2 linked regions of the Elephas maximus indicus genome follow. Each later gene encodes a partner of the first gene's protein in a complex. Links are inferred from orthologs where the notes say so. Each region holds a gene or a part of one and is shown in the gene's direction. Other genes may lie near its edges. The genes, in order: SMC4 and NCAPH2.

Evidence for each region.
Region 2: the proteins of SMC4 (region 1) and NCAPH2 are in contact, whole or in part, in a cryo-EM structure (PDB 9F5W), measured with the Homo sapiens proteins. The link is inferred for Elephas maximus indicus from reciprocal best matches to the Homo sapiens genes SMC4 and NCAPH2. Residues at the interface, in NP_001002800.1 of Homo sapiens: Ile100, Leu101, Gly102, Pro103, Ile112, Gly113, Pro114, Ser117, Gln1151, Met1152, Leu1155, Phe1227, Lys1228, Ser1231, Ile1232, Phe1235, Tyr1236, Glu1239, Gln1240, Asn1253, Asn1254, Phe1256, Glu1257, Arg1261, Gly1264, Ile1265, Tyr1266, Lys1267, Thr1268, Tyr1269; in NP_689512.2 of Homo sapiens: Arg494, Ile495, Trp498, Glu499, Thr501, Val502, Leu505, Leu506, Gln509, Glu510, His512, Phe547, Cys550, Arg551, Met553, Leu554, Leu557, Gln558, Ala560, Asn561, Tyr563, Val565, Glu566, Ile567, Gln569, Leu573, Glu574, Ala576, Val577, Asp578.

Annotation. Positions count from the first base shown.
Region 1 is NC_064841.1:320,749-335,519, reverse strand, and holds the start of SMC4 (structural maintenance of chromosomes protein 4), read left to right. Parts: upstream 1-9,265; 5' UTR 9,266-9,671; intron 9,672-11,075; 5' UTR 11,076-11,080; coding exon 11,081-11,216; intron 11,217-11,646; coding exon 11,647-11,825; intron 11,826-12,339; coding exon 12,340-12,531; intron 12,532-13,979; coding exon 13,980-14,156; intron 14,157-14,771. UniProt on the Homo sapiens protein: Central component of the condensin complex, a complex required for conversion of interphase chromatin into mitotic-like condense chromosomes.
Region 2 is NC_064822.1:196,870,105-196,884,965, forward strand, and holds the start of NCAPH2 (condensin-2 complex subunit H2), read left to right. Parts: upstream 1-7,726; 5' UTR 7,727-7,866; coding exon 7,867-7,974; intron 7,975-13,823; coding exon 13,824-13,925; intron 13,926-14,724; coding exon 14,725-14,780; intron 14,781-14,861. Other genes in the region: LMF2 (lipase maturation factor 2), read right to left, coding at 3,295-3,588, 3,669-3,765, 3,836-3,947, 4,150-4,318, 4,403-4,585, 4,675-4,771, 4,848-4,953, 5,036-5,170 and 6 more. UniProt on the Homo sapiens protein: Regulatory subunit of the condensin-2 complex, a complex that seems to provide chromosomes with an additional level of organization and rigidity and in establishing mitotic chromosome architecture.

The DNA of each region.
Region 1 (14,771 bases):
AAAGCACAGAGGTTTCCTAGACACATCCAAACACTTTGAGGGGCTGAGTAGCTGGGGCTGCGGCCTGGGGATCATAGTCTTGGGGGAAATCTAGGTCAACTGTTTTTGAAAAGAAAAGAAAAAAAAAAAACCCACTGGCATCCAGTCGACTCTGACTCAGTGACCCTAGAGGACAGAGCAGAATTGCCCCCACAGGGTTTCCAAGGCTGTAAATCTTTCTGGAAGCAAAGTGCCCCATCTTTCTCTTGCAGAACTCTTTATGGTGCTACCAAACTTGTGAAACTCTTTATAGTGCTATCAAAAGACTAGAAAATTTAAACGTCCATTGAAGATTATGGAGCCCTGGTAGCATAGTGGTTAACAGCTCAGCTGCTAACCAAAAGGTCAGCAGTTCAAATCCACCAGCCGCTCCTTGGAAACCCTATGGCGCAGTTCCATTCTGTCCTATAAGGTCGCTATAGGGTCCCTATGAGTCGGAATTGATTGCAACAGATTTTTTTCTTTTTTTTGGTTCTATGGGTATGCTGTGGTAATTACATTTCCTTGCAATTCCAGCTATGGTTATTATTAATCAGTAGATATTGTCAACCATACTTCAGTATTATTCTCTTATTGGCTATATTTATCATCCTCTTGCAGGGAGGCCTAATAAACTTAGCCAATAAACTCTGTGATTCACAAATTAAAGAATATGTAATCATCTTTAATTCATGCTTTAATTCACCAACTAGCATAAAACAATCACACTCAACACAATATATCAGAATACTGCATAAATCTTTAAAAAATGAGCTGGATCTGTATGAGTTGATACAGAAAGATATCTAAAATACGCTAAATAACAAAACCAAGGTGTATAGCAATATTATATGAAGCAATCCCTTTTATGCAAATAAAAAGTGATACATATTTAAAGGTAGTGGACAAAAAAAAATATTTTTCTGGGAAGATGTGTAAGACACTAAATAATAGAGACCTTTGTGGGGGTAGGGGCACTGGGGTGACAGGAGGCGTTTACTTCTCATCATATCTTTCTGCACTGTTTGAGATTTCTAACCATATTCATAGGGTTTTATTTTGTTAATCTATCCATTTATGTATTAACGATAAGATTATCTGAGTAACAGGATATGGCTCAATTTTGTTTTCTTCTTTATATGCTTCTGCATTTAAAAGAAAGGTAACGTTATTTTTTTCATAAGGTCTCCATGCTCATTCTCTCTGCCATCTCTACTGTAATTGACCCCCTTCTTATTCAAGCTCACGTCTAGCCTATCTTCTTGATACTGTTCTTTGTTTCCTTCTTTATTCTTTATAAGCATTTTATCATTGTGCTACCAAGTTGATTCTGACTCTTGGTGACCTCATGTGTCGTGAAATACGGCTAATAATACCTAATCCACAGTTTGGTTATGATGATTAAATGAGATGAAACATACAAAATGTCCAGTAGAGTGCCTGACACACAGTTGTTGTGTTGTTAGGTGCTGTCAAGTCAGTTCTGACTCATAGCAACCCTACATACCACAGAACAAAACTCTGCCTGGTCCTGTGCCATCCTCACAATTCTTGCCGTGTTTGAACCCACTGTTGCAGTCACTGTGTCAGTCCATCTTGTTGAGGGCTTTCCTCTTTTTCACCGACCTCTACCTTATCAAGCATGATGTCCTTCTCCAGAAACTGGTCCCTCCCGATAACATGTCCAAAGCATGTGAGACAAACTCTTACCATCCTTACTCCTAAGGAACATTCAGGCTGTACTTCCTCCAAGACAGATTTGTTCATTCTTCTGTTGCTTCCTGGTACATTCAATATTCTTCACCAACACCATAATTGAAAGGCATCTATTCTACTTTGTCTTCTTTATTCATTTTCCAGCTTTCCCATGCATATGAGGCGAATGAAAATGCCATGGATTGAATACAACAAGCATTCAATAATTGCTAACTATTTGTAGTGAAAGTAAACCAAAAAAAACCCACACTTGTTACCATCAAGTTGATTCCAACTCATAGAGACCCCATAGGACAGAGCAGAACTGCCCCGTGGGGTTTCCAAGGAATGGCTGGTGGATTCAAACTGCCAATCTTTCAGTTAGCAGCGTTAGTGCTTAACCACTGCACCACCAGGGCTCTGTAGTGAAAGTGAGCACTCAATGATTGCTAACTATTTGTAGTGAAACTGTTGTTTTTATCATCCCACATATATTCGCTCTTTTCCCACCGGCAAAGAATTTCTTTTCAGGACACCTTCCTTACTCTAGGCTTGAGCAGAGCCAGCATGACACCCAGCCTTAAGCCAATTAGAGCATTCCATTCCGTCCACACAGTGGCTGTTTCACAGGTGGCCCAGTACTTTTATTCAAATGAATGAAGGGGAAAAAAAGCTCTCTTTACCCACTGGTCTTTAACTTTAGAGAATTTGAGGCTCAAGTTACTGTAGCTATCTTACCATAGCACAGGAGAGCCTGGAGGTGCCAGAGACCACTGAGTGGTGCCTGAGAAAAATGCCAAGACAGTGGAATGCAGAGTAAAGAAAAGAAACCAAATCCTGGTGTCTTTGTTTGAGTCCCTAAATCCAGTTACACTCACCTAGCTTTTTAGTTATTGGAGCCAATAATTTTTTTTCTCAAGACAATTTGGATTGGATATCCTGTCACTTTAACCTAGACGGTCCTACCTGAAACATTACTGTAATTACTTCTTCTTCCTAGATTCTAACAATAGACTTTTCCTCAATATCCCCAGTCAGTTGCTATTCCCGTCTCACAACCTAAAAACACCCAATCTATGGTTAGTGTTCCTTCCTATCTTTTTTTGTAACACTATCTCATCTTATTTTCTCTCTTGAGCTATATTCTCTACCTCTACCGCCCGTTGGATACATCTTCTTGACTGTCACCCCATAATCCCAACCTACAAGAACAAAAACTCATCTTTCAAAATTATTCCCCCCTGCAAAAAAACTGTTCCACTTCCCCGTTTCCTGATTTTTCTGTGATAAATCAGGTGAGAGTTTCAGTAAGATTAAGATTAATGTACTAGTGGGCTTATATTATCAAGAGGAATACTCATTACTATCTGTATTTTGTATATACCTAACTTTATTAATACATTTGATTAATATATAGGATATATTAGTCAAGCAGTGTTCTGTAAATATATATTACTTACACAATTCATCTTTATTCATTTTATTAGTTATTACAAACTTAATTGGTTAATATTTTTAAACATTTACTCACAAATCCAAGTTCGGACTTTCTTAAGTGCTGTACACACTTTTAGAGGGCAGACAAAACACATACTACAATGATCACAAAACTTAACGGTTCACTTAAAGAACTGCAAATGTGGATTTTAATTCTAATTTTTCTCTTTGGGGTTATCCTCTCAGACCGCCTGAAACTACACTAAGGATTGTTGGTAGATGGTTCTGGACCAGGAAGATGAGATTTGGTTATGTTTTACAAAATGATTGTAACCCCCCGTTATAGTTCGACCAGCTTCTTTTTATAATTAGACTCTTAATTTCCCAAGAAATGCAAAGTATTGGCAACCATCAACCAAGTCTTTATTTCTTGTTACCTAAAGCTTTTCTCAAAAATCACACTCAATCTGAGTGTCTTATTCTCATGTTGTTGTTGTTAGGTGCCGTCGAGTCGGTTCCGACTCATAGCGACCCTATGCACAACAGAATGAAACACTGCCTGGTCCTGCGCCATCCTTACAATCGCTGTTATGCTTGAGCTCATTGTTGCAGCCTCTGTGTCAATCCACCTTGCTGAGGGTCTTCCTCTTTTCCGCTGACCCTGTACTCTGCCAAGCATGATGTCCTTCTCCAGGGACTGATCCCTCCTGACAACATGTCCAAAGTATGTAAGACGCAGTCTCACCATCCTTGCCTCTAAGGAGCATTCTGGCCGCACTTCTTCCAAGACAAATTTGTTCCTTCTTTTGACAGTCCATGGTATCATTCAGTATTCTTCGCCAACACCACAATTCAAAGGCGTCAACTCTTCTTCGGTCTTCCTTATTCATTGTCCAGCTTTCACATGCATATGATGCTCTTGAAAATACCACGGTGGCTTGGGTCAGGCGCACCTTAGTCTTCAAGGTGACATCTTTGCTCTTCAACACTTTGAAGAGGTCCTTTGCAGCAGATTTACCCAATGCAATGTGTCTTTTGATTTCTTGACTGCTGCTTCCATGGCTGTTGATTGCGGATCCAAGTAAAATGAAATCCTTGACAACTTCAATCTTTTCACCGTTTATCATGATGTTGCTCGTTGGTCCAGTTGTGAGGATTTTTGTTTTCTTTACGTTGAGATACAATCCATACTGAAGGCTGTCTTTGATCTTCATTAGTAAGTGCCTCAAGTCCTCTTCACCTTCAGCAAGAAAGGTTGTGTCATCTGCATAACGCAGCTTAACGAGTCTTCCTCCAATCCTGATGCCCCGTTCTTCTTCATATAGTCCAGCTTCTCGTATTATTTGTTCAGCATACAGATTAAATAGGTATGGTGAAAGAACACAACCCTGACACACACCTTTCTTGACTCTAAACCAATCAGTATCCCCTTGTTCTGTCCGAACAACTGCCTCTTGATCTAGGTAAAGGTTCCTCATGAGCACAATTAAGTGTTCTGAAATTCCCACTCTTCGCAGTGTTATCCATAGTTTGTTATGATCCACACAGTCGAATGCCTTTGTATAGTCAATAAAACACAGGTAAACATCCTCTGGTATTCTCTGCTTTCAGCCAGGATCTATCTGATATCAGCAATGATATCCCTGGTTCCACGTCCTCTTCTGAAACCAGCCTGAATTTCTGGCAGTTCCCAGTCGATACACTGCTGCAGCCGTTTTTGAATGATCTTCAGCAAAATTTTGCTTGTGTGTGATATTAATGATATTGTTCTATAATTTCCACATTCAGTTGGATCACCTTTCTTGGGAATACGCATAAATATGGATCTCTTCTAGTCAGTTGGCCAGGAAGCTGTCTTCCATATTTCTTGGCATAGACGAGTGTGCACCTCCAGGGTTGCATCTGTTTGTTGAAACACCTCAATTGATATTCCATCAATTCCTGGAGCCTTGTTTTTCGCCAATGCCTTCAGCGCAGCTTGGACTTCTTCCTTCAGTACCATCAGTTCCGGATTACATGCCACCTCTTGAAATGGTTGAATATCGACTAATTCCTTTTTGGTATAATGACTCTTTGTATTCCTTCCATCTTCTTTTGATGCTTCCTGCGTCGTTTAATATTTTCCCCATGGAATCCTTCACTATTGCAACTCGAGGCTTGAATTTTTTCTTCACTTCTTTCAGCTTGAGAAACACTGAGCGTGTTCTTCCCTTTTGTTTTTCCATCTCCAGCTCTTTGCACGTGACATTATAATACTTTACTTTGTCTTCTCGAGAGGCCCTTTGAAATGTTCTGTTCAGTTCTTTTACTTCATCAATCTTCCTTTTGCTTTAGCTGCTCGACGCTCAATAGCAAGTTTCAGAGTCTCCTCTGACACCCATCTTGGTCTTTTCTTTCTTTCCTGTCTTTTCAGTGACCTCTTGCTTTCTTCATGGATGATGTCCTTGATGTCATCCCACAACTCGTCTGGTCTGCGGTCACTAGTGTTCAATGCGTCAAATCTATTCTTCAGATGGTCTCTAAATTCAGGTGGGATATACTCAAGGTCATATTTTGGCTCTCCTGGACATGCTCTGATTTTCTTCAGTTTTGGCTTGAACTTACATATGAGCAATTAATGGTCTGTTCCACAGTCGGCCCCTGGCCTTGTTCTGACTGATATTGAGCTTTTCCATCGTCTCTTTCCACAGATGTAGTCAATTTGATTTCTGGTTGTTCCATCTGGCGAGGTCCATGTGTATAGTCGCCATTTATGCTGATGAAAGAAGGTATTTGCAATGAAGAAGTCGTTGGTCTTGCAAAATTCTATCATTCAATCTCCGACATTGTTTCTACCACCAGGGCCATATTTTCCAACTACTGATCCTTCTTCTTTGTTTCCAACTTTCTCATTCCAATTGCCAGTAATTATCAATGCATCTTGATTGCATGTTTGATCAGCAGCTGATAAAAATTTTCTATTTTTTCATCTTTGGCCCTAGTGGTTGGTGTGTAAATTTGAATAATAGTCTTATTAACTGGTCTTCCTTGTAGGTGTATGGATATTATCCTATCACTGACAGCGTTGTACTTCAGGATAGATCTTGAAACGTTCTTTTCAATGATGAATGCAGCACCATTCCTCTTCGAGTTGTCATTCCCAGCATAGTAGACTATATGTCCGATTCAAAATGGCCAATACCAGTCCATTTCAGCTCATTAATGCCTAGGATATCGATGTTTATGCATTCCATTTCAGTTTTGACGATTTCCAATTTTCCTAGATTCATACTTTTGTACATTCCAGATTCCGATTATTAATGGATGTTTGCAGCCGTTTCTTCTCATTTTGAGTCGTGCCACATCAGCAAATGAAGGTCCTGAAAGCTTTACGCCATCCACGTCATTAAGGTCGACTCTACTTTGAGGAGGCAGCTCTTCCCCAGTCATCTTTTGAGTGCCTTCCAACCTGGGGGGCTCATCTTCCAACACTATATCAGACAATGTTCTGCTGCTATTCGTAAGGTTTTCACTAGCTAATGTTTTTCAGTACACTGCCGGGTCCTTCCTCCTAGTCTGTCTTAGTCTGGAAGCTCAGCTGAAACCTGTCCTCCATGGGTGGCCCTGCTGGTATCTGAATACCAGTGGCATAGCTTCCAGCATCACAGCAACACACAAGCCCTGACAGTACATATGACAAACTGACAGACACGTGGGGGTCTTATTCTCATAGCACATATAAATATCCAAATTAAAGTCTACCCTGTAGCTGCTTGTTACAAATGTGTTTACTTCATTATGTAGCCTGATTTAAGCCTGCTTTGAAAATATTTGTTCTTCATGGGGCGTAGTTAGATTCAAGTAAACCTAAGACCGTGGGTCAGCTTATTGATTTGTTGAAACTACGTTATTTTCTCATCAGTCACTAAGTCCTACCATATTGACAGCAATCATCAAGGGCACTAAAACTAGGATTCATTTTTAAGATTTATTTTTATTCCTACCTCTTAGTCATTAATTCAGGGATTCACATACAAAGAACAGTATCTGACTGATTTTAAATTCATACTCATCCATCAAAACCTATATAAACTATATAGATTTTTCCCCCAAAATGATTCCGGATGTTTCTCCATTCTGCTATGTTGGCAATTCTCACCTCTCACATGGAGAACTGTACAGCAATGATCTAACTAAAGTCATGACTGATTTCAGTTTCTTTCCATTAGCACATCCACGTACTACTGTTAATTATTCTTCCTATTTTCACCAAGTTGCTCCTTGGCTCAAAACTTTTCTAATAGCTCTATTTTCTTCCATATCACATCTAACATCCTTGGCCTGGTTTTCAAGACCTTCCATAAGCTACTCCTTCTCCAACTTGACATCCCATTTTTCATGTACATATCCTAACAAAGTCAACGTCATAAACATAGCAACATCAAATGCTTATAGGATGTGTGCTAGAAATTTTCTCATAAGCATTCCTATGGGATAGGTGTTAAACACTGGTTTTATATATAAATACTGAGAGATTGATAAATTGAGTAAATTGTCAAAGTATGTACCTAAAAGTGATGAGATTTGGGGTTCTAACATTTATCTATATCATATTTTTCTACTACATTGTGCTATGTTACTCATACTCATTGTGCTATGTTACTCACAACCCATGTGTGTCAGAGTAGAACTGTGCCCCATAGGGCTTTCAACGGCTCATTTTTCAGAAGCAGATTTCCAGGCCTTTCTTCCCAAGTGCTTGGTTAGCAGCCAAGTACATTAACTGTTTGCATCAATTTTACAACATTCAAAAATCCACAAGACTCTAGAGCCATCAAAGAGAACCACTAGATCTTCTTGGTATGAATACCAGCCAAAAACTTTCTCAATGAGCTTCATTTTCTGCAGTTTGTGTTATGAAAACGATGATTATTTTTTCAACTGCAAACATAAATGCATATTATAATAACTAGTTATTGTTTATTCAAACCACACCAGCCTCCCAACCCCAGCAAATTATTACACTTGGAGAACGTGTCCTCCTCACCCCTGAACCTGACTGTGTGCTCCTTCAGGGCAGGAGCCATTACATGTTTAGAGTGACAATGTAAATTCATTCATAAACCAGATTTATTGCTTTTAATAAACGAGGCTCTAAGGTAGGCCCTAAGTATGCAAAAGGTTAAAAAAAAAAAAAAAAGACTCCCAGTCCTCAATGTCGAGTACATAAGAGTCCTGGGTAAATCCTTACTGGAGGTCGTCAAATTAACCAGTGGTTTTGTTTGTTTAACACCGAGGGGGCCTAGAGGCACGTTTGAGAATGCGAAGAAAGTACTGGGAAAACTAACCCCCCAGAAAAACGTACAAACACACAGAATTTTGTATAACATGACAAAGGGGTTATGAATTGTTCCGAAGCCAAATCGCCTACCACTGGATACAAAGACCCCGGTTAAAAACCCCAAAAGAAAACTCAGTTCTCTGGGGACAGGAATTCTCCTACTTGCTTGACAATCCTGATTTTGTCTTGCACGGTGCCATGTATACAGTAGCCCCTTAATGTTTGCCGATCGATAAAAATAACCAAATGACACTAGCAAATTGCTTCTTCCGTTGCGGAGCCCTTTTGTCAAATAATTTGAAAAGCCCGAAACTCCCTTTCACTAATAACATTAATGACCTAACCCCAATAACTCGACAGTCATTACCTTGCTATTCCCACATGGCGTACACGAGCAACCACTAATCCAGGCTCTCCTCTTCTCCTGGCGCCCCCCGCCCCCCAAACTCTGGGCTCCTCGGTACCCCAAAAGCTACGCCCAAAGCCCCTGTACCCCAGGGAGACAGACTGTAACAGGTGCTCCGTGCCACACGCACCCTCAAAGCAGGAAAGGTGCTGGCTACAACGAGGAGCCCTTTCCTGGCCGCGTCCGGAGCTGACGAGATTTACCTCAGGTCCCAGTGAAGCGGAGGAGACTGGCCTCACAGAGCCTGGGCAGTCACCATAGTGACGTCTCCCAGCAACGCTCCCCGCCTTCCCGCGATACTTCCCCCCGCACCGCACGGCGCGTCACGGAGCCGAGCCGAGGCCCCGCCCCGCAGCGCGCCCGCCCGCTCCTCAGGGGGCGTCGTTGGACGTTGAGCCTCGCCTTCAGCTGTGGGCGGAACCCGACTCTATTTTTTTTTTCTCTTTTTCAAAAACCGCCACGTTTTTTAAATGTGGTGTTTATAATAGTGCTGCTGCTACTGGCCGCTGGGTAAACATTCCCTTCTCCTCCGTTTTCACTTAGGACGAACGTCCCCTACCGCCCGGGGTCCGCCCGGAGTTTGCGCTTGCGCAAGAATGACCAGAAGATGGCGGCGGTAATCGCCGCACTTTTTTTCAAATTAGTGGATCCCAGAAAGCATTGCGCGCGTTTGTAACGAATTTCCGTTCGAGTTTGTATTTTAGGCGCCATTTTCGAGTGAAGCACCCGGAGCCGAGACACCGGCAGGAGCGCGGTGGGCTCCGCAACCGTCTCCAACCTTGGACTGGCCCGCAGGTAAAGTACTTCCTTTCCCGGCCGGGTGGTCGGATCCTTGGCTGCCGAGCGGCCCGGGGCGCCCGGAGAGCAGAGGCCGGGAGCCGGACCGCGGAGCCGGTCCCGAGGCTCCGCCGAGCGGCTTCCCCGCTGTCACCCCTCCCCCCCCGGCCGCTCCCGCGGTCCGGGCCCCGCGCGCTTCTCCCGAGCGCGGCGCTCAGCTCCGCGGGCGTCCCCTGGGCGGGCTGCCGCCTGGCCGGCCGCTTCTGCGGGGAAAGCCGTGCCCCCGGCCCGAGCCCGGCCCTCCGGGCGCCCCCGAGGGACTGGCGGCCGCCTCTGAGCCTTCGCTGGCGACCCTTCCCGGCTGACTTCCGTCTAACGGCGCTCGGCCGCGGGCCGTCCTGAGGAGGGAATCGCCGCCGCCGACCCAGCCCTCGGCCGCCCTTTCGGGGTCGCGCGGGGAGGGGAGACGGCGAAGCCCCCGAGCGGCCCGCGGCGGCGAGGGGCTCCCTCCTGGGTGGCCTGGGAGGGCCGGCGGCCGCTCGGGGCCGAGGCGCGCTGCTGCCTACGCCGGAGAGCGGGCACGTCCGTCGGCGTCGGCTGCGTGTGGGGTCGGGTCGTCGGCGAGTTAGTTTGTGCGGCTACACTGGGGGCGCCCCGGGGCCGAGGGTCCCGAAAAACCTGGAGGGTTAACTGGCTGGTTCCCGGGCACGTCTGGGCTTCCCCACCTGCCCAGGTCTTCCTGAGAAAACCATCCCGCCTTCCTGCCCTTCGGTTTTATTGTGGCTTCTTCCCCGACGGAGTTGGGGGTCGGGGAGCGGCGGGCTGGGGGTATGAGGTCGGGGAGCGGGGGTCGGGGGTCGGGCAGCGGCAGGCTGGGAGTATGAGGTCGGAGAGCGGCGGGCGGGGTATGGGGTCGGGGAGCGGGGGGCTGGGGTCGGGGGTCGGGCAGCGGCGGGCGGGGTATGGGGTCGGGGAGCGGCGGGCGGGCTATGGGGTCGGGGAGCGGCGGGCGGGCTATGGGGTCGGGCAGCGGCGGGCGGGGTATGGGGTCGGGGAGCGGCGGGCGGGCTATGGGGTCGGGGAGCGGCGGGCGGGCTATGGGGTCGGGGAGCGGCGGGCGGGCTATGGGGTCGGGGAGCGGCGGGCGGGCTATGGGGTCGGGGAGCGGCGGGCGGGCTATGGGGTCGGGGAGCGGGGGGTACGAGGTCGGGGAGCGGCGGGCGGGGTATGGGGTCAGGGCTGGGGGCGGCGGGCGGGGGGTACGAGGTCGGGGAGCGGCGCGCGGGGTACGAGGTCGGGGAGCGGCGGGCGGGGTGTGGGCTCAGGGCCGGGGCGGTGGGAGCGGGGCGGGGGGCCGAGCCGGCCCGCCTGGAGGAGGCCGCCCCCGCCGCGGGCTGACTGGCTCGGGCTCTCCCCGCCCAGCCACCATGCCCCGCAAAGGCGCCCAGCCCTCCACCGCCCGGCGCGGAGAGGAGCCGCCGCGGTCCCCGGCCGACGCCAGCCCCGACGCCGAGCCCGAGCCGCCGTCCGGCCGCGCCGAGAGCCCGAGCTCCTCCGCCGCGGGTGAGTGCGGGGCCCCGGGACGGGCGGGCGTCGGGGGTCGGGGGTCGGGGCCGGGCCGTCGACGGCCGGGAAAGCCGCTCCGGCGCGGCGGGGACGGGGCGAGCGCGTAGCTCGGCGTGGGAGCCGGTTGGTGGCGGCGCGGACGCCCGTCCCTGGCGCGGCGGAAGTCGGCACGGCCGGCCGAGGGCCGGTGGCCGTTCGCGGGCGGCGCCGGTGCCTGGTCTGTGACCCCGCGGGCACGTCGCGGGCCCTCGGCGCGGCCGCGTGGCCTGAGGCACCTGTGGCAGAAGGAAGGAGGCGCGCGGCCCGGAGTCCGGGGCTGAGGCGCGCGGGGAGCCTCCCTGGGCTCAGGTGGAAAGGCGGGGTGCCGCGCCCCGAGGTCGGCTCCCTGCGCTAAGGGAGGCCCCCTGCCTTGCCTCCGCCGACCTAGAAGCGCCCGGGGAGGACCTCGACAGCCGAAGTTTAGAAGAAATCCTGGGCAGCGTCCCTCCGCCGCCGCCTCCGGCGATGACCAATGAAGCCGGCGCTCCCAGGCTGATGATAACGCACATCGTGAACCAGAACTTCAAATCCTACGCCGGGGAGAAAATTCTGGGACCTTTTCACAAGGTATGTGCCCCTCTTATGTAACTGCTGTTAGCGGAGGTATCAGTTCTTACATGATCTTTCCAGTGTTTTTAACTGTTTATTCTGAGCCACGCTGAGTGATGTGTTTATCGTGTATGTGCATAGATAAATATCGAGTGTTTCTCATGCTTCAATATCTGAAACTAGCTTTTGTTTATCTGGATATCTTTAATACCTCATTCCATATAAAGTTTCTTCACTAAGAAGAATTGATTAGTTTTTTGTTTGAAAGGAGTGTTTTCCTTAACTACAAAAATGAATTTCGTAAAAAAAAAAAAAAGTGGGTTACAGTTAGAATATGGTCTCTAGGTGTGAAAGCTTGTGAGAGAGGAAAACACTTTAAAAAAAAACTTAAAAGTTGAAGTTGGGTGTCTTCAAGCAATGAAAGCTTGTAAACGTGTGTAGTTTTACTTCAGATAAAAAAATTAGTAGTTCAGAATCAGTAGTATTAGTATGACATCTTTAACTTTAATTTTTTTCTGTTCTTTTTATGCAGCGCTTTTCGTGTATTATTGGGCCAAATGGCAGTGGCAAATCCAATGTTATTGACTCTATGCTTTTTGTGTTTGGCTATCGAGCACAAAAAATTAGGTCTAAAAAACTCTCTGTACTAATACATAATTCTGATGAGCACAAGGATATTCAGAGTTGTACTGTAGAAGTTCATTTCCAAAAGATAATTGATAAGGTAAGGGATTTTCACTACTTGATTCTTTGAAATTTAGGGAACACAAATATTACACAGTATTTTTGGTTTAAATTGGCTTTTTAAATTTTGAATATAGTTAAAGCAGAACAATTATTGATTCCGTTACCTCTGGCTGCGTTCGCTTTTTGGAGAGTGTAGTGGCTATTTAAAATATTAAAATTTTTAGAGAAATGAATTATAAATAATTCGTATTAATCTTTACTTTTTTGAAAGAAAATGTTGAGCAGTTTTAGTATCCTGCATGCCAAATAGACATTGTTTTACTATAAACTTTGGGATCATTTTAAAACCTACCATGTAATTGCTTTTTAAAAATTACCTATGGTTGAAAATGTTACAACTGACTAACTTTGCTATCCTTAATGTTTATGTGAAAGTGAACGTTGTTAGTGGTCCTGTATGTTTGTAATACGAGAGAGCTTTGCTTCAGTTTGAACTATTGTGATTAAGTCCTTTTTAAACGGGAAAGGTCATCAAACTACTGTTTGCTTTCTAGAAGTGGAGACAATTATAAGTAAAATACCTATTTAGATTATTTGCACTGTTTTGTTGGTTTCTTGTTTTATTTTGCTTAAATAGTTAACTTTGGAAACTCATGCTTTAAAAATGTCAGTGGAACATAAAAATACGGGGAACTAATTACATAATGGACCTTTTTCTTTCAATATATGTAACAGGTTTTAAATCTACATGGAAGTATCTTTTAATTTTCTTAATGTTTTCTATTGTACATTTTGGGTTGAGGAATACATAGTAAATCATATTTGATTTGACTGCATTTTTTAAAAGCCGTAATGTTAATGTGACAGCCCTTTTATTTTTAAGGGTAAGGGAAAGCAAATTCTAAGATTAAAGGAGATTTGCCCTTGATTTTTTAAAAATCTGTTTGGTTAAAAAAAAAAAAAATCAGGGCATGTAGTTGTCAATTATTTGCAACTTTCTTTTTACTTTCAATTAAAGGTGCTCTTTACCCCCAGAAAACGTTGCCGTGTCACTGTATCACTGCCTACCTTCCTTTTTCCTTGAATGGTCTATTGCTGTAGCTTTTTTTAATGAACTAGTAATTTAATCTGTCAATATTATTTAATAATTTGAATGGGTTTGTTTTGAACATGGTAGAATTCTTGGCCCCCTTCATCAACTCTGTTTTCTCAGCCAGTATGTTTTTAGGTTTGTTTGGAGGTTGAGTGTTTTTGCTGTTGTCGATTGGTATTTTTTTTGTGATCTGTGAGTCAGGAACCAAACAACTTGGAGAAGTATGTCGTCTTGCTAAGCAAGATTATTTCTGAGGATTACTGCCAGTTTGTTGTGTGCACGTTCAATGAAGTTTTTAATTCATAGAATTAGTTCCAATGTGAAATTTGAAGTAGACTATGCCTATTTAATACCAGCGATTGTTTTTTTGGGTTTGTTTTTTCTCACAACAGGAAGGAGATGATTATGAAGTCATTCCTAACAGTAACTTCTATGTGTCCAGAACAGCCTACAGAGATAATACTTCTGTTTACCACATAAGTGGGAAGAAAAAGACATTTAAGGATGTTGGAAATCTTCTTCGAAGCCATGGAATTGACTTGGACCATAATAGATTTTTAATCTTACAGGTAAGTTTATTAAAGATTTCATAGGTTCTCTTGGTCTTGTGTTGTGTTGTTTTGTTTTCAGTAAAGGTAGGGGTTTTCCCCTGTTGGATCAATCCTGTATTTTCGAGGCCTTAAAGTACTGTAGCAGCACATCATGGTTTACATACTACAGTCAAGATGCGAATCATTATTTGCTGCTCTAGAAATTTAAGGAAATTCATTCAAAACACGGTTTTCATCATCAGATACTACTACAATGTTTGGATGGACTGACATGCTTGTTCCACTCTAGCAGCACGTAAATATTGGCGTAGTGAAGTAAATATTAGACCCCAATATTATTGTGCTGCTTTAGTGTGACAGGGATACAGCATCTATTTACCATTTGTTTTTATTTGCCTTGAAGATAAGTTTTTATATATATATATTTGTGTTTCGGGTGAAAGTTTACAATGCAAGTTAGGTTCCCTTTTGACAGTTTCTACAAAAATTGATTGTGATATTAAGGTTTTCACCTTGTGTTAGCATTCTCATTAATTGTGTTCTGATTGTTCCATTTTTAGTCCTCTAGCTTCCCTGCTCCCTTAGCTCCTTGAAGGTAACATTTTAAGTGGAATTCACTGTCTTTTAATAGTG
Region 2 (14,861 bases), on another chromosome or scaffold:
AAGAGGGCTCGAGGGAAGAGTCTGTCTATTCCGCCATCTTGGCTCCACCTCCTCTTTCCATCTTCTTTTGATGCTTCCTGTGTCATTTAATATTTTCCCCATAGAATCCTTCACTATTGCAACTTGAGGCTTGAATTTTTCTTTAGTTCTTTCAGCTTGAGAAATGCTGAGTGTGTTCTTCCCTTTTGGTTTTCTACCTCCGGTCTTTGCACATGTCATTATAATACTTTGCTTTGTCTTCTAGAGCTGCCTTTTGAAATCTTCTGTTCAGCTCTTTTACTTCATCATTTTTCTTTTGCTTTAGCTACTCAAGGTTCAAGAATAAGTTTCAGAGTCTCTTCTGACATCCATTTAGGTCTTTCTTTGTCTCCTGTCTTTTTAATGACCTCTTCCTTTCTTCATGTATGATGTCCTTGATGTCGTTCCACAATTCGTTTGGTGTTCGGTCATTAGTGTTCAACGCATCAAATCTGTTCTTGAGATGGTCTCTAAATTCAGGTGTTTATACTCAAGGCTGTGCTTTGGGTCTCATGGACTTATTCTAATTTTCTCCAGTTTCAACTTGAACTTGCATATGAGTGACTGATGGTCTGACCCGCAGTCGGCCCCTGGCCTTGTTCTGCCTGATGATATTGAGCTTCGTCATTATCTCTTTCCACGGATATAGTTGATTTGATTAGCGTGTAGTCCATCTGGTGAAGTCCATGTGTTTAGTTGCTGTTTATGTTGGTAGAAAAAGTTACTTGCGATGAAGAAGTCATTGGTCTTGCAAAATTCAATCATGTGATCTCCGGCATTGTTTCTCTCACCAAGGCCATATTTTCCAACTACTCATCCTTCTTTGCTTCCAGCTTTCACATTCCAATCTCCAGTAATTATCAAGGTATCCTGATTGCATGTTTGATCAGTTTCAGACTGCAGAAGTTGATAAAAATCTTCAATTTCTTCATCTTTGGCCTTAGTGGTTGGTGCGTAAATTTTAATAATAGTCATTTTAACTGGTCTTCCTTGTAGCCGTGTGGATATTATCCTACCGCTGACAGTGTTGTACTTCAGGATAGATCTTGAAATGTTCTTTTTGATGATGACTGCAACACCATTCCTCTTCTAGTTGTCATTCCTGGCATAGGAGACCATAACCCACTAAACCGCTGCTGTTGAGTCGATTCCTACTCATAAAACTCATAGCGACCCCATAAAAAAAAAAAATTTTTTTTTTTTTTTTTTTCAGAATAAAACTGCACCATAGAGTTTCCCAGGAGTGCCTGGTGGATTCGAACTGCCAACCTCTTGGTTAGCAGCCGTAGCACTTAACCACTACGCCACCAGGGTTTCCATATGATTGTCCAGTTGAAAATGACCAATACCGGTCCATTTCAGCTCACTAAGGCCGAGGATACAGGTCTTTATGCTTTCCATTTCATTGTTCAGAATTTCCAATTTTCCTAGATTCATACTTTTTACATTCCACATTCTGATTATTAATGGATGTCTGGAGCTGTTTCTTCTCATTTTGAGTCATGCCACGTCAGTAAATGAAGGTCCCAAAGCTTTACTCCATCCATGTCATTAAGGTCGACTCTACTTTGAGGAGGCAGCTCTTCCCCAGTAGTCTTTTGAGTGCCTTCTAACCTGGGGGGCTCATCTTCCGGCACAGTATCAGAAAATGTTCACTGCTATTCATAAGGTTTTAACTAATTCTTTTCAGAAGTGGTTTGCCAGGTCCTTCTTCCTAGTCTCTTAGTCTGGAAGCTCTGCTAAAACCTGTCCTCCGTAGGTAACCCTGCTGGTATTTGAGTACTGGTGGCATAGCTTCCAGCATCACAGCAACACACAAGCCCCTGCAGTGGGACAAACTCACAGACGTGTTGGGGTTGCTATGAGTCAGAATTACCTGATGGCACACAACAACTGTTTTAAAGTAAAGCCAGACCTGTAGGTCGTATTTTCAGTGTTCAAGAGCCCAATCATACAGATGGCACGGGACCAGGCAGCCTTTTGTTCCCTTGTGCATGGGATTGCCCTTAGTTGGGCGTCAAGTCTAAGGCAGCCAACGAGAACCCCTGAAGGCATCCAAAAGCTCTAGGCTCAGGCCCCCTGAAACCATGCCTTGTGGGGGCACAGGGTCCATTGGAGGGAGCAGGGAGTGGGGTAGGAGAAGCTGGGCATACGGGACACTCCAGGGGTCTGTGAGGGAAAGCAGGGGGCCTGGGAGCCGAGGACAGAGTAGGAGCAGGGCAGCTGGGCTGTGAGTTTCCCACAGAGGGGTGACCCCCGGCGAGAGCCACAGACCTCAGGACCCAGCAGAAGTCTGGACCTAGCCCCCACCCCAGGCTCCCCGCATCCTCTTCCCAGGAATCAGTGCCTCTGCCTGCCTAGGTCTCCAAACTGGAGGGCAGAGGTTGCTAGACATATTCTCTCTTTCCATCCACCTTCCTGCTCCCTCCCCCCATCCGCCGGAGCATCCAGGGTGGGCACCTTCCTTGGGCCCCCCCATCCACCTGGACCACATGCCCCATGGTGGCTGCCCCCAACCTCCCTTTATGCCTTGCCTAAGTCGGTCCAGTGCCGTGGCTTTGCTGGAGTGGAAGAAAAGGGCTGGGCTTTGGCAGGTCCCCCAGCCCTTGTGTTCCCTTGGACGAGTCTGGCCCCACATCCCACCGCCTGGCTCTGCGCCCTGCAGGATGGAGCTGGGAGGCCTGAGGGCATCCATCAGTCTGTGCGGAGAATGCTAGGCTGGGATGCAGAGCTACCTGACTTGAGGCCACTGCCCAGCTGGACAGAGCTCTGGCTGGCCACTCCATAGCAGGGAAGGGGCTACTTTGACCACTAGACACATGGTTTGGCACAAAAGACACCTTTATTGGTTTACAGATCCAAATACCTATTCCGCCTCTTTTTTCAGCAAGTCAGCCTCATTCCTTGCCTCTTGGGGACTCCAGACCCAGACCCTCATGAGAGGACCAGAGGAGAAGGGGCTCCTGCCTGCCAGCTGCAAGGTTTGTCCAGGGAAGGGCTGTGATGGGGCTGCTGGGCCATGGGCCGCCCCCTGGGCTCATTGCTGAGACCAAGGAATATATGGGAGGCATGGGGGTGACAAGTGATCCTTGAAGCCACAGGGAGCCAGGGTCACCCAGGAGAGCCTCATGGGTGGGGGGCAGCACGCCAATCTGCGTCTGCCACAGCAGTGTTGGTTAAGGCACTCGTGGCTAGCCGTGTGCTGCTGAGGGGAGGCCTGCGCTGCTGGGGGACCCTCCCTGCCCCCTTGGGGACACCCATCTCAACGAAGCACAGCTACTTCTTTCGCCGGGGGGTCCGTGCCCCGCTGCTGCAGCTGTCAGGGGTGGGGTTGGCCTGTTCACTGGCAGCTCCTGGCTCCTTCTTGGAGGCTGTCCTGTGTTTCTCCTCCCTGCTGGTGGGTGGGGAGTGGGCAGATAGCAGGCCCTGGACCACCCTGATGGCCCCTATGGCCACAAGGAGGCCCCAGAGCAGGGCGGGGGCCCCCACGGAAGATAGCTGGGTCCGCACCCAGTGCAGGGCCTGGGGCAGGGAGCTGCTGGTGCTGCGGGGTCGCGGTGGGCTCCTATCCTGTCATGGGGGGGAACACAGTGAGGGTGGTCCACGGAGGGCAGTCACCTGAGCCCCCCCAGCCAACTGACACCTCCTACCTGAAGCCCAAACTGTGTGAGGAGTGTGTCCAGCGTGGGGTCCCCCAGCGCCACGGGCGGGAAGAACTGCTCTACCCACTGGCGGCGCCACCACCGGCTGCAGCAGGTCTGGCGGTCAGTGCGTGTCTAGACCCAGGCCCCCCCACCCGCCTCGTGCACCAACCTACCCCTGTTCCCCAGGCTGTGAGAACCAATACTTGTAGCGCTGGGCGCGAATGTAGGTGGGCGGCTGTTTGTGGAAGGGGTACCTGGTGAGATCATCCTGTATCAGGCGGATCACTGTGGGATGGAGAGCCTGGCTCAGCCTTGGCCGCCCCATATCCCCACCAGTGACTGGCCGACTGGCTGTCCTCCTTCACATCCCTGCGCTCTTTCCATGCCGGCCCCACCTGCACATCACCCCCATCTAGCACCACCCCCTCTCCATCCCATCCCACCCCTCCCTCCAACCTTCCCTCACCCTGGCCCGGCCCCCCCTCACCAGGCTCCTGGCCCTGCAGCAGTCGGAGGACCAGGCCAGTGAACCAGGGGCTGTGTGTGTGTGGCCCCAGTGCCGCAAACCACATCTGCCAGTCGAGGCGTGGCTGGTGAGGTGCCACGATGGGCGGAGGCCGGCTCATGTTCCCAGGCTTGTACATAAACTCAATTTCCTGCCAGATGGTGCCACAGTCAGTGGCCAGCTGGGTCCACGCCCACTCGGCCACCCACCGTGAGGCCCACCTGCAGGGGCTTACTGTCCAGTGGTTTCCATCGTAGCTGCCCTCCAGTACTACCTCGGGCCGCCCACCCAGACCGGTCATCTGGCGGAAGAGGCCATAGGAGTTGGCCAGCTGTAGGTGCTCCACGGCGCCAAAGAGGCGATGGGCCCCGGTCCAGAGGCGCCCATGGGTGCCCGGCTCCATGTAGGAGTAGGGTACCTGAAGACAGATGAACAGAGACTCAGTGCGGCTCTGAGCACCCGCAGTGCACCCCAGCTTCCCCACGCCCTCCTCCCCTAGCTACCCACCAGGCTGACAGTGAATAAGGCCACTGTGGCCGTGCCAAAGACGGACAGCTGGACCGCAGACCAGAGCTTCCACAGCCACCCGCGCACCTGTGTCCACCTGGGGGGAACTAAGGGTGGTCAGGCCTATGGGCATACCGCTGTCACCTCTACCTCCCTGACTCTGGCCCATGTACCTCCAGAGTGCAGCCAGCAGCTCCCAGGCAAGGGAGGCCCCACCAAGCCACATGGTGGGCAGGGTCACTGTCTTCAGCCACTGGGAGAACTGGTGAAAAGTGAAGTCTGTGGGGAAGGGGGAGTTGGGGGCAGGTGTGAGGACGGGTGTGAGGGGAGCAGCCCACCCTCCCTCCCAGCCAGTGCTCACTGGTTCTAGAGTGGATGGTACGTTGTTCCCAGTCCACTTCCAGGCTGAAGTAGTGAGCAGTGCCATAGGCCAGCAGCCCGTAGACAGCCAGCTCCAGCAGCAGGGCCAGCATGGTCAGAAGGGCCCTGGGCCAGGCTATGGGGAGGACAGTCATGGTTGACTGGGGATGGGGGTGGGCGGGCCATGGGGGAGCTAGAGCCGGGGCCACAGGGGGGAACTTACAGGCAGGCATCTTTTTGCGGCGGCTGCGGTCCCGCTCAACACCTAGATGCTTGTCATCCAGCAAGGCAGTGCAGAGCACCAGGGTGAGCAGGTTGAAGAAGTTGTAGTTGCCTGTGATGATGATCAAGACTTGCAGCAGGACCTAGGGGGGTCTGCACTCAGAGTTTCTGAAAGCCATCCCTGGAGCCCTTCAAAGCCTGCTGCGCCTGGCCCCACCACAAGCACCCTGACCACATCTGTCTTGGTCTCCACTGCAGACAGCCCTCCCTGTTGTGGCTTGGGAGCACACCCCTCACCATCCCCCAGCTCGTTTCCACCTCATCTGCCCTCAGCCAGTGCTTGACTCTTCCACAGTTCTCGTGATCTCAGCACATGGCAAGTGGTCCTTCCCCACCTGGCTCCTGCTGACCTAGACACCGATATCCTCAACATGGCTGTAATCCTCCCACTGCGGGCCTACCCCTCCACACCCCTATTCTTTGCCATTGCTGCTTCCTGCCTGGAAGTGCTGAGCAGAGCTGAGCCCTGCTTGGGTCTCCAAAGCTGAGCCCCACCCACCTGGGAGTAGAAGGCTGCCAAGCGCAGGCGGCGGAGTGGGGAGAAGAACAGAGGTGGCACTGCAATCTCGATGAGGAAGGTAGCTGCCACGCTGAGCCTGTGCAGCCAGACAGGCAGGTGGTGGGCGAACCAGGCAGCGGGTGTGGGCAGGCACTGTGTCTCGTAGTGGTATGTGAGGGCTGCAGGGTGGGGGGGCAGACAATCAGGGCCAGCTGGAGCTCCCAGATCACCCCGGTTCCAGGCCAGGATCCTCACCGGTGAGCCCCCACCATGCGGGGCAGCGGCTGGTCAGCTTGACCACACCCGAAGCGAACATGAGCCGGAACAGCAGCCAGCGCACTAGCCAGAAGGGGAGGTCTTCGTGGGGCGCAGCTCCCGTCAGCCTGCCCTGGGAGTCCTGCTTGCGAACCGGGGGCTGCCTCAGCGGGGCCACCAGCACAGCCAGGAAGCCAGTCTCCAGAAGCAGGGAATCCCTATTGGAGAGAAAAGAGTACAAAGGGCCCCCCTCACCAGTCGCTGCCCTCAAAGGGGCCTCCTGCAGAGTGAGACACACTTGCCCAGCCCTCCTGCAGCCCGAGCCCGGAGCCACTCACCACTGGAAATAGAGGAACACCTGGCCCACCTGCAGGGAGAGGGGCTGTCAGGGGGCAAAGGGGTGTGTCTGGGCACCGGGCAGGGCAGAGATGTGGGGGCGGGGAACAGAGGGTGGCCCCACTTGCCTGGCAGGCCGACAGATAGGCAGCCCAGAGCAGCAGGTAGGTGAGGCGGTGGCGCAGTGGGCGGAGCAGCACAGCGCCCACAGCCAGCAGCGTGCCCAGCAGGCTCAGCAGCTCCAGGCCCTGGGCAGTGTCCAGCCCCAGCCTTGGCACCTCCCACAGGAGCGTCGGCATCTCCCACAGCTGCTGCCAGCGCCCCTTGCCCTGTGGCCGCAGCATCCTCCGAGCCGGCAGGATGCCCTCAGCACCATATAGGCCTGTGAGAGGGCACATCAGGGCCGGGGCACCGTCTTTGCAGGCTAGGTCCCCCACCCCAGGTCAGGGTCTGCAGAACCCTCCACTCAAACCTGCAGATCCCACCCCCCAGGACCCAGAGCGCCTACCTGACACCCTAGGTCGGGAAGTCCCACCCTGCAGAGCCCAGCTCCCCTCCCCTCCTGGTCAGAGCCCTCCCCTTCTACCTGCCCTACCACGTCTGGGCAGAGGCTTCTCCCGCCCACGTCAGTTCTGCCCCCCCCCCCCCGCCTCAAATCAGAGCCCGGAACCACGTGGAAAGCAGACCATTGCTCTCACGTCCGCCCCCAGCATCCCCGCGGCCCGCAGGATACGGACCGCCGCCCCCACCCCACGCACTAAGGCCCGAACCTCACTCCTGTCCCCCGCCCCCAGACAGCAGAGGGTCAGGCCAGGCGAGGAGCGGACGCGAGGCCCCGAGCGCGGATCGGGGGGTGTCCCGCCCTCGGCACCCTCACCCGGGATCTGCTTGTAGAGGGAAGCAAAGGCGAACATGAAGACGGCGGCCACGCCCTGGAGGAAGAGCTGCCGCGGGAGCCTGGAGGCCGCCATGTCCGCTACGCGGCCGGCTGGAGACGAGCCAGCCAAGGCCGCTAGGCCGCCAGGCCCCGCCCCGCCCGGCAGGCCCCGCCCCGCCCGGCAGGCCCCGCCCCGCCCGGCAGGCCCCGCCCCGCCCGGCAGGCCCCGCCCCGCCCGGCAGGCCCCGTCCCGCCCACCGGGCCCCGCCCCGAGCCTCCAGGCTCCGCCCCGCCCCAGCACGCGGAGGGAAACTGCAAGCCCCGTCCCTTTGCTGGCTCCGCCCCGCCCCGCCTCGACGCCTGCCCCACCTCCAGCGCGCGCCGCGGCTTTCCTCCCTCCCCCGCCTTGCCTCGAGTGACGTCATAGGTCTGCGCGCGGCGACGCGTGCGACGTATTCTCCTGGGCGGGAACAGCAAAATGGCGCCAGAACTGGTGGCGGGCTGAGGGCACTGGTCGGTCCCCTTCGGAAGCAGATCCTGCTGTCCCGGCCCGCTCTTGCCGCGCGCCCGGCCCCTCCCGGACATGGAGGACGTAGAGGCGCGCTTTGCCCATCTCCTGCAGCCCATCCGGGACCTCACCAAGAACTGGGAGGTGGACGTGGCGGCCCAGCTGGGCGAGTATCTGGAGGAGGTAAGGGCGGCGGGGGAGTGGCGCGGCGTGAGCCTCCAGGTCGGCGGCCCTCCGGCGCCCCGGCTTCGCTCGTCCCCAGGCTCCTTACTGCTTCCTTTTCCCAACCGCATCATTGCCTCCCGAAGTCACCTCCTCGTGAGGTTCGCCAGGAGTCGTAATTGCAGGTCGCTGCTCTTTGGTGAGCCGTGAAGTCGATTTCGTGAGTTGTGACAAGCAGTTTTCTCAGATGAAATAGAGCAGACTAGAAACTATTAAAGTTCATTTTGTTTTAGTTATTGTGTGCATATTTGTGTATGTGTATGTGAGAGAGAAACTTGGATCACTGTGCAAAAGGGTTTCTTGCAGTGGGTTTCCAGACCGCTTTTCAGCCACTGCCATGTTCATCCTGCCAGCATTAATCGTTCTTCCGTGTTTGACAGCCGTGCCTACCCTTTAACATCAAGTCAATTCGGATCCATAGCGACCCTATAGGACAGAGTAGAGCTGCCCCATAGGGTTTCCAAGGCTGTAATCTTTTTTTTTTTTAATCTTTACGGAAGCAGACTGCCACGTCTCCTGCGGAGAGGCTGGTGGGTTAGAATGACCGACCTTTCAGTTAGCAGTGCCACCTCCACTAAGGAGCCGCCGGCTCCACTTTTGCACCTCCCTCTCCTCAGCCCGCCCAGCCTGGCTTCCCCTACACTTAAACTGCTCTTTTCTTGATCAACAACGACTTTCATTGTACCAAATCCAAGGGACGCTAAAAGTGTTAGCTTACTCCAGCGGCAGCCTTTGTTGGAGTTGATGGCTCCCTTTTACTTGAAAGGGTGTCTTTTTTTGGGTTCCTTGACAGGGCATTCTGATTTCCTTCTTATGCCACTGGCTCCTTTTTTCTCCTGTCTAATCGCTCCTCAGGGCAAGGGCCAGCCATATTTTGGCACTTCCGCCCTTAAACAATCTCATTTATTTCCACGATTTTAAAAAACATCTGCATCATTTTAACTCCGAAATTTATATCTCCACCCAGATCTTTCTTCTGAATCTATTTTTGTGTTTCTAGCTGCTCATATGACATTCCGCTGATTTGTCACATAAATATTTAAGGTATTTAAAGTGCAATTCTTCATTTTTCTGCTCAAACCTCAGTCATTGATTTCAGTAAATGGCACCACTGTTCAACCAGCTACTGAAAGTGAAAGGTAAGAGCTGTTCAGGTGAAACCCCATGCAGTGCACCCCGTTTATCCATGGATTCTGTCTCCTATACCACCAGAGTATTGCTTGAATTCACCTGCTCTCCATTTTCACTGGTCCAGGCCACCAGCATCTCTGAATCATGTGAAATCTTCCCAGCAGCTCCTTACCTCTGCCTTTGACCCCCCGCAATCCATGTTCCATCCAGCAGCAAGTGTGGCTCTTAGAAAATAAAATCCAGCTACATCACCTTGCTGCTTAAAGCCCATCCCTGCTTTCCGCTGCACTTGGAATATAACCCAAATTCCTCCCTGTGGCTTCCAGGCCCCTCTGGGTCTGGCCCTGCTACCTTTCTAGCCTCATCTTAGGCCATTCTCTGCCTTACTCTTTCATGTCAGTCAACCTGACACCTTCTAGCTTCTTCCTGCCTGAGGGCCTTCATATGTTCTGCTCTAACTAAGGAACAATCTTTCCCCAGTTCTTTGTATGACTAATTTTTTCTCATCTTTAGATTTCAGCTTCAGTGCCAGCTGACAACTATCTAATAAAGTTCAGTCTCCCAGGGTACCTTATGCATGTACCTTATGCATTTTAGAGTACTTTTTGTGATCTGCTCTTTAACTTATTTACTTGTTTGTGGTCTGTATCTATCCTAGTGTGTAAGTTCTGTGAGGGCAGGGGCCACGTCTTTGCCCTCTTCTCTCTGCCTTATTGAATGCCTGGCTCACAGTAGGAGTGGAATAAATATTTGTTGTGTGAACACTGATCTGGTGAGTGATCTTCTCTGCCCTGACATTCAGCCTGCTGAGAAAATGTGGAGAACTGTGCCAGGTGGAGTTACTGTGGATTCAGGTTTCCACACTGAGCAAGGCCTTGGTGACACCTGGTAAATCTGCTTCCTCCTGCTGCCCTCCTGCCTGTTTCTGTGCTCACAAACCTCTGGCCCTGATGTCATGATCTCCAGCCTCTAGTTTTGCCTTTTCCCTTCTTTTTACCTTCCACATAGTTAACAGAACGTTCTTTTTTGACATGCCATGTTGCTGTCCTGTTTCATCCATTTATTTATTCGGTGCCTGTAACCACCAGCTTCATAAGGCAGGAGGTGAATCATTATCAGCCTCAGTGCCCCGAGGCTGATTGTTACGAGGTGGAGGTCAGACATGCCACCTCTCTCCTTGCGGCACTCTCTACTTCTCTGCTGGGTTTGATGATTCGCTGCAAGGGTCACGCAGAACTCAGAGACCATTATTAGGGTTTATTAGGGAAGTAACAGGTTTCAATTCAGGGTCAGGAATGACTCAAGATACAGCTCTTCAAGATCAGGACAACCTCTTCTCACCTGTACCCACTGGCAGGCCTCTCTTTGGTCCTTGGCCTCTCGGACCCTTGCCTTAGCCTCTGCCCTGCTCAGGCAAGTGTTACAAAGCCCTCATAGCTCTGCCAATAAGTACCGGGGGGCACCCTACTCCGCCAGCAAGCTTCACCCTGAAGGTGTTCCGCTCTCTCACTCCGTGGGTCAGCAAGCCTAGCTCCGCCAATAAGTGCCTGGGGCATCCCACTCCATCAGGAACGTTTCTGTGTGAAGGCGCTCAGCTCTCTTGCTCCATGGGTCGGCACACCCGCTGTAACCGCCTTGCTCTGTGGGCCAGGAAGCCCACCACACCGTCTCTTGCTGGTCTCCTGCTACTGCTGCGGCCGTTTCTCTGCTGCTGCCTCTCACTGTCTTGCACCATCTCTGGTGTTACAGCTCTCTCTCTCTCTGTCTTGGGTCTAGGGGGTTCTCAGCAGAGGGACTCCAGGTCCAAAGGATGTGCTCCCATCCTGTCATTCTTGGTGGTAGTCAGGTCCCCTCTTTCTGCTTATGGGATGGCTCATTTTAAGCCTAGCGGGATGGCAAAACTGGCCAACTCCCTCATTAGGGTTCCATACACCTTCTTTGCATGGTCCCATACCCCCTGCCAAGGGTGCCATGCCCTATTATTGCATTATTATCAAGCTATCCAGTCCTCTTGGTGGGACACAAGCACCTTATTTGCACAGCCCCATTCAGCCATTTGGTGGGAGTTACAAGACCATGGATGAGAAAGGCCATGTAAAACTGATCCGCTGTAGTGTGGCGTTGTTCAGTGTCTAGCTGTGTTAGACCCTAGGGAATAGTGGGAAGCAGACCAGACAACAGCTCCTGCTTTAATAGGACCCCCAGTCGGTGGGGAAGATGAGTCTTAAAGAAGTAGCCACACGGTGTTGTAGTTAGTGCTTTTTGTGCTCTGTGCATATGAGCTCATTTAATCCTCACGAAACCCCTACTGGTGTAGGTGGTTCTTCCCCTTCTCACAGATGAGGAAGACGAGGCATGGGAAAGTTAGCCATGCCCAGTCACGACTGGCAAGGGGCAGAGCAGAGTCTGTGTTCCCAGCCACTGCACAGCACCTTCGTATAGTCACAGGCTACCTGAGTTCTGAAAGAAACGTTTGAGGTTCCATGAAGAGTTTGACTGGGGATCTCTCTCTTTTATGATGAAACCAGCTGCCTAGTTAAGTGAGCTGAAGAAGATTCCAGGCAGAGGGACAGGTGTGGGAAGGTTCTAAGCAGGCCTGCGTGGTCACATGGCTCTGTTTAGAATTTGGGGTTTTCCATTAGGGTTCTGAGGGCACGTTGTGGTCCACTTTAGGACAAGTGCTGGCTAGAGTGCTGAGCATAGGCAAGGGAAGAGAGGGTAGGAGAGCCCTGTTGGATTCTGTGGTCCAGGCCAGAGTGGAGCTGGCTGGGCAAGAGCAGGGCTGTCACCCAGAGCAGAGTGACATGGTCAGGGTACAGGCACAGCAGGGCATTGACAAGGAACTGGGACAGGTGGGATCAGGAGGTGAGAAGGAGTTAGACTCCAGGGTTTCTGGGCAGGTGGTTTGTGTCAGAGGTTATCTGGACTTCAGCGTGGACTTGTTTAGTATGAATTCCCATTAAGACATCCGATGGACATCTGAAGTGGGCGCTGGACTTGTGGGTTTAGCGCAGAAGGGAAGTCCAAACTGGAGCTGTATTTGGGAGCCATCGGAAGCGTAGACAGGTGGTGTAGGTGCTCCAGCCTGCCACCCTGCGGGCCCTTCCCCGTGTCCTGATGCTGTGCTTCCCCCACAATGGCGCTCCTCTGTCCTCCTTCCCCCTGACCCTACACACTCCTCTCTCCCCTCAAGAGTCAGTAGAAGCATCTTCCCTTTGGTGGCATCTTCCCAGGCTTTCCCCCTTCTTTGTGATGCTGTGTTTGAATAGTATTTGTTCTCCTAAGCAGCTGTACCCTTCTTGGCTCACTGCCCTTGCATGGTGGCCACTCTTCCTGCCGGGCTGTCTCCCTTCGTTTGTTTGGCAAATGTCCATTTTTTAGGCTGAGCTCTGACATCACTACTTGACATGTTCATCAGATATTTATTGATACCAGTGTCAGGCTCCAAACCTGGGGCTGGAATTTAAAGCAGCTCCCAGCCCAGTGAGGGGACAAGAGGCAGGGGACGGCTCCAGTGCGTGAGCCTACCCTGGTGATGGAGCCGTGCAAGGGTGCCCAGAGCTGGGTCTGCGTCTGCGGGAGCAAGTGGGGGGGGGGGCTGCAGAATCTTTCACATTAGAGCAGAGTTGGGGGTACCTGTGTCTGGGGGATAGCTGGGGGAAGGTGCCCTATGGCAAAGCAAGGGCAGAAAGGCTTGAGGAAATACCAGGGAGCCTTCAGAGTGTCCATCACAGAGAGGTGCACAGTGGAGGGCCAGCTTGGGGGGACAGTGAGTCAGGCCTGGAGATGGAGGGTCAGGAACACATCTTGGTGGAGCCATCCAGTAAGCAGCAGGAGAGGGTCCTGGAGGTGAGGTCTGAGAATCATGAGTGCAAGCCTGGCAGTCTGGTAGATGGGTGGTGGATTCACAGGTGAGCAGATGAGTCATGAAGAGAGGAGGGCCAAGGCAAGCCCTGGGCGCTAATGTTTCTGGGTGAGCAGGGGAACAAGGGCTTAGAGAAGGCCGGCGTGGTGGAAGGGGAAGGAAGATAACCTACCAGAAGTGTCTCCTGGGTTCTCTGCTCCAAGGATGGAGACCCTGTTGTTCTACGTCTGTGTTCCCTACCCCCGGGGTTTCTCTTTTCTTAGGGTGGGGGGTCTGTGTGCTGGGACTGTTAGGGTGGGGCTCTGACTTGGGGGAGTGTCATAGAACGCCCTCCCCGTGCCTCACAGGAATGTGAGTGGCTCTGGCCATTTGGTAGACAGTCAACTCTGGGAGCCTCCCTTTTAAATACGCTAGGTCCCAGAGATTACAGGAAGTAGGTGAATGACAAAAAAGGTGAACACACAGTGGAGTCAGATCTGTCAGCGGAGGGGTGGTCTGCTCTCCATCCAGCGCTGTCAGAATCACTAGGGGGTGCTGCAGAAGAGGATGGGGTGCTGCAGAGGGGGAGAGGGAAGGCTGCAGAGGGAGCAGAGGGCTGCAGAGAGGCAGGGGCTGCAGATGGAGGGGGTGCTGCAGAGGGGGAGAGGGAAGGCTGCAGGGGGCTGCAGAGGGAGCAGGGGCCTGCAGATGGGGGGCTGCAGAGAGGAGGGGGTGAGGGGGGCTGCCGAGGGGAGGAGGGGGGAGGGGAGGGGGGCACTGCAGGGGAAGCCACACTAGCATGGGGCTCCTGCCCACCCCTGCGGATGTCTTGCAGCTGGACCAGATCTGCATTTCTTTTGATGAAGGCAAGACTACGATGAACTTCATTGAGGCAGCGCTGCTGATCCAGGGCTCTGCCTGTGTCTACAGTAAGAAGGTGAGCCTGCGCTGGGACGGGCTGGGATGTGCGGCAGGCCAGGGGCTTGTCCTCCTCTGACCTGACCTCCCAGCATCCCAGCCTCCACTCCCGAGTCCTTGTAACACTAAAGAGCAAGCTTGGATTTAAAATGGCTTCATGTGGCCAAGAAGAGAGGGTGCGTGTGTTGTTGGCGCCGTTACTGCCTGTACGAGTAACACCTAAGGCAAGGGTATACTGCACATAGGGTGGCACCTGTGCGCCCTGCTCTGTCATCCGGCAGTCTCGTCGTGGCATCTCAAAGGCCCGAGCCCCTTCCCCCTACTCAGTGGGTCCTCCTATTCTAGACAGGAAACAAGGTTGTGGCTGGAGCTGCCTCGGTGCCAGCAGAGACTCACAGGCGCTGCTGTGGAGGTGGCATGAGGCCTGAGGGGGCAGGAGAACAGCAGGAGCTGACCTCGGGCTCCTGGTGGGAGGGGCAAGGAGGGTGGGCGTGGCTGTGAGGGGCGCTGCCAGTGAGGGAGTGCACTGGGGGAGCCAGGGCTGGACTGAGTCTGCCTTCAGAAGGCCTCACTGGTTGCTGTGTGCAGTGGTGGTGGGAGGGGCGGGGGCCTCCAGCCATCAGTAATTAGCTGGAGATGCTGGTTCGATTTCAGATGTAGTTTCGGCAGTAGAATTGGTAGGACTTGTGCTCAGGGTCTTGGAGATAAGGCCAGGCCTCTGGGTGCGCACAGTCCTGGTATAGGAGGCCCCAGGGACTAGGGTGGGGTGGCTGGAGTGGGCCCGCTCTTCTGCCTCCTCACTTGTGCTCTGGCGGCAGGTGGAGTACCTCTACTCGCTGGTCTACCAGGCCCTCGACTTCATCTCTGGCAAGAAGTGAGTACTGTGGGTGATACTGGAGGTGGTGACTGGGGAGGCCCCATGCCTCCTCTGAAGCCCACACAAGGACCCTCTTTC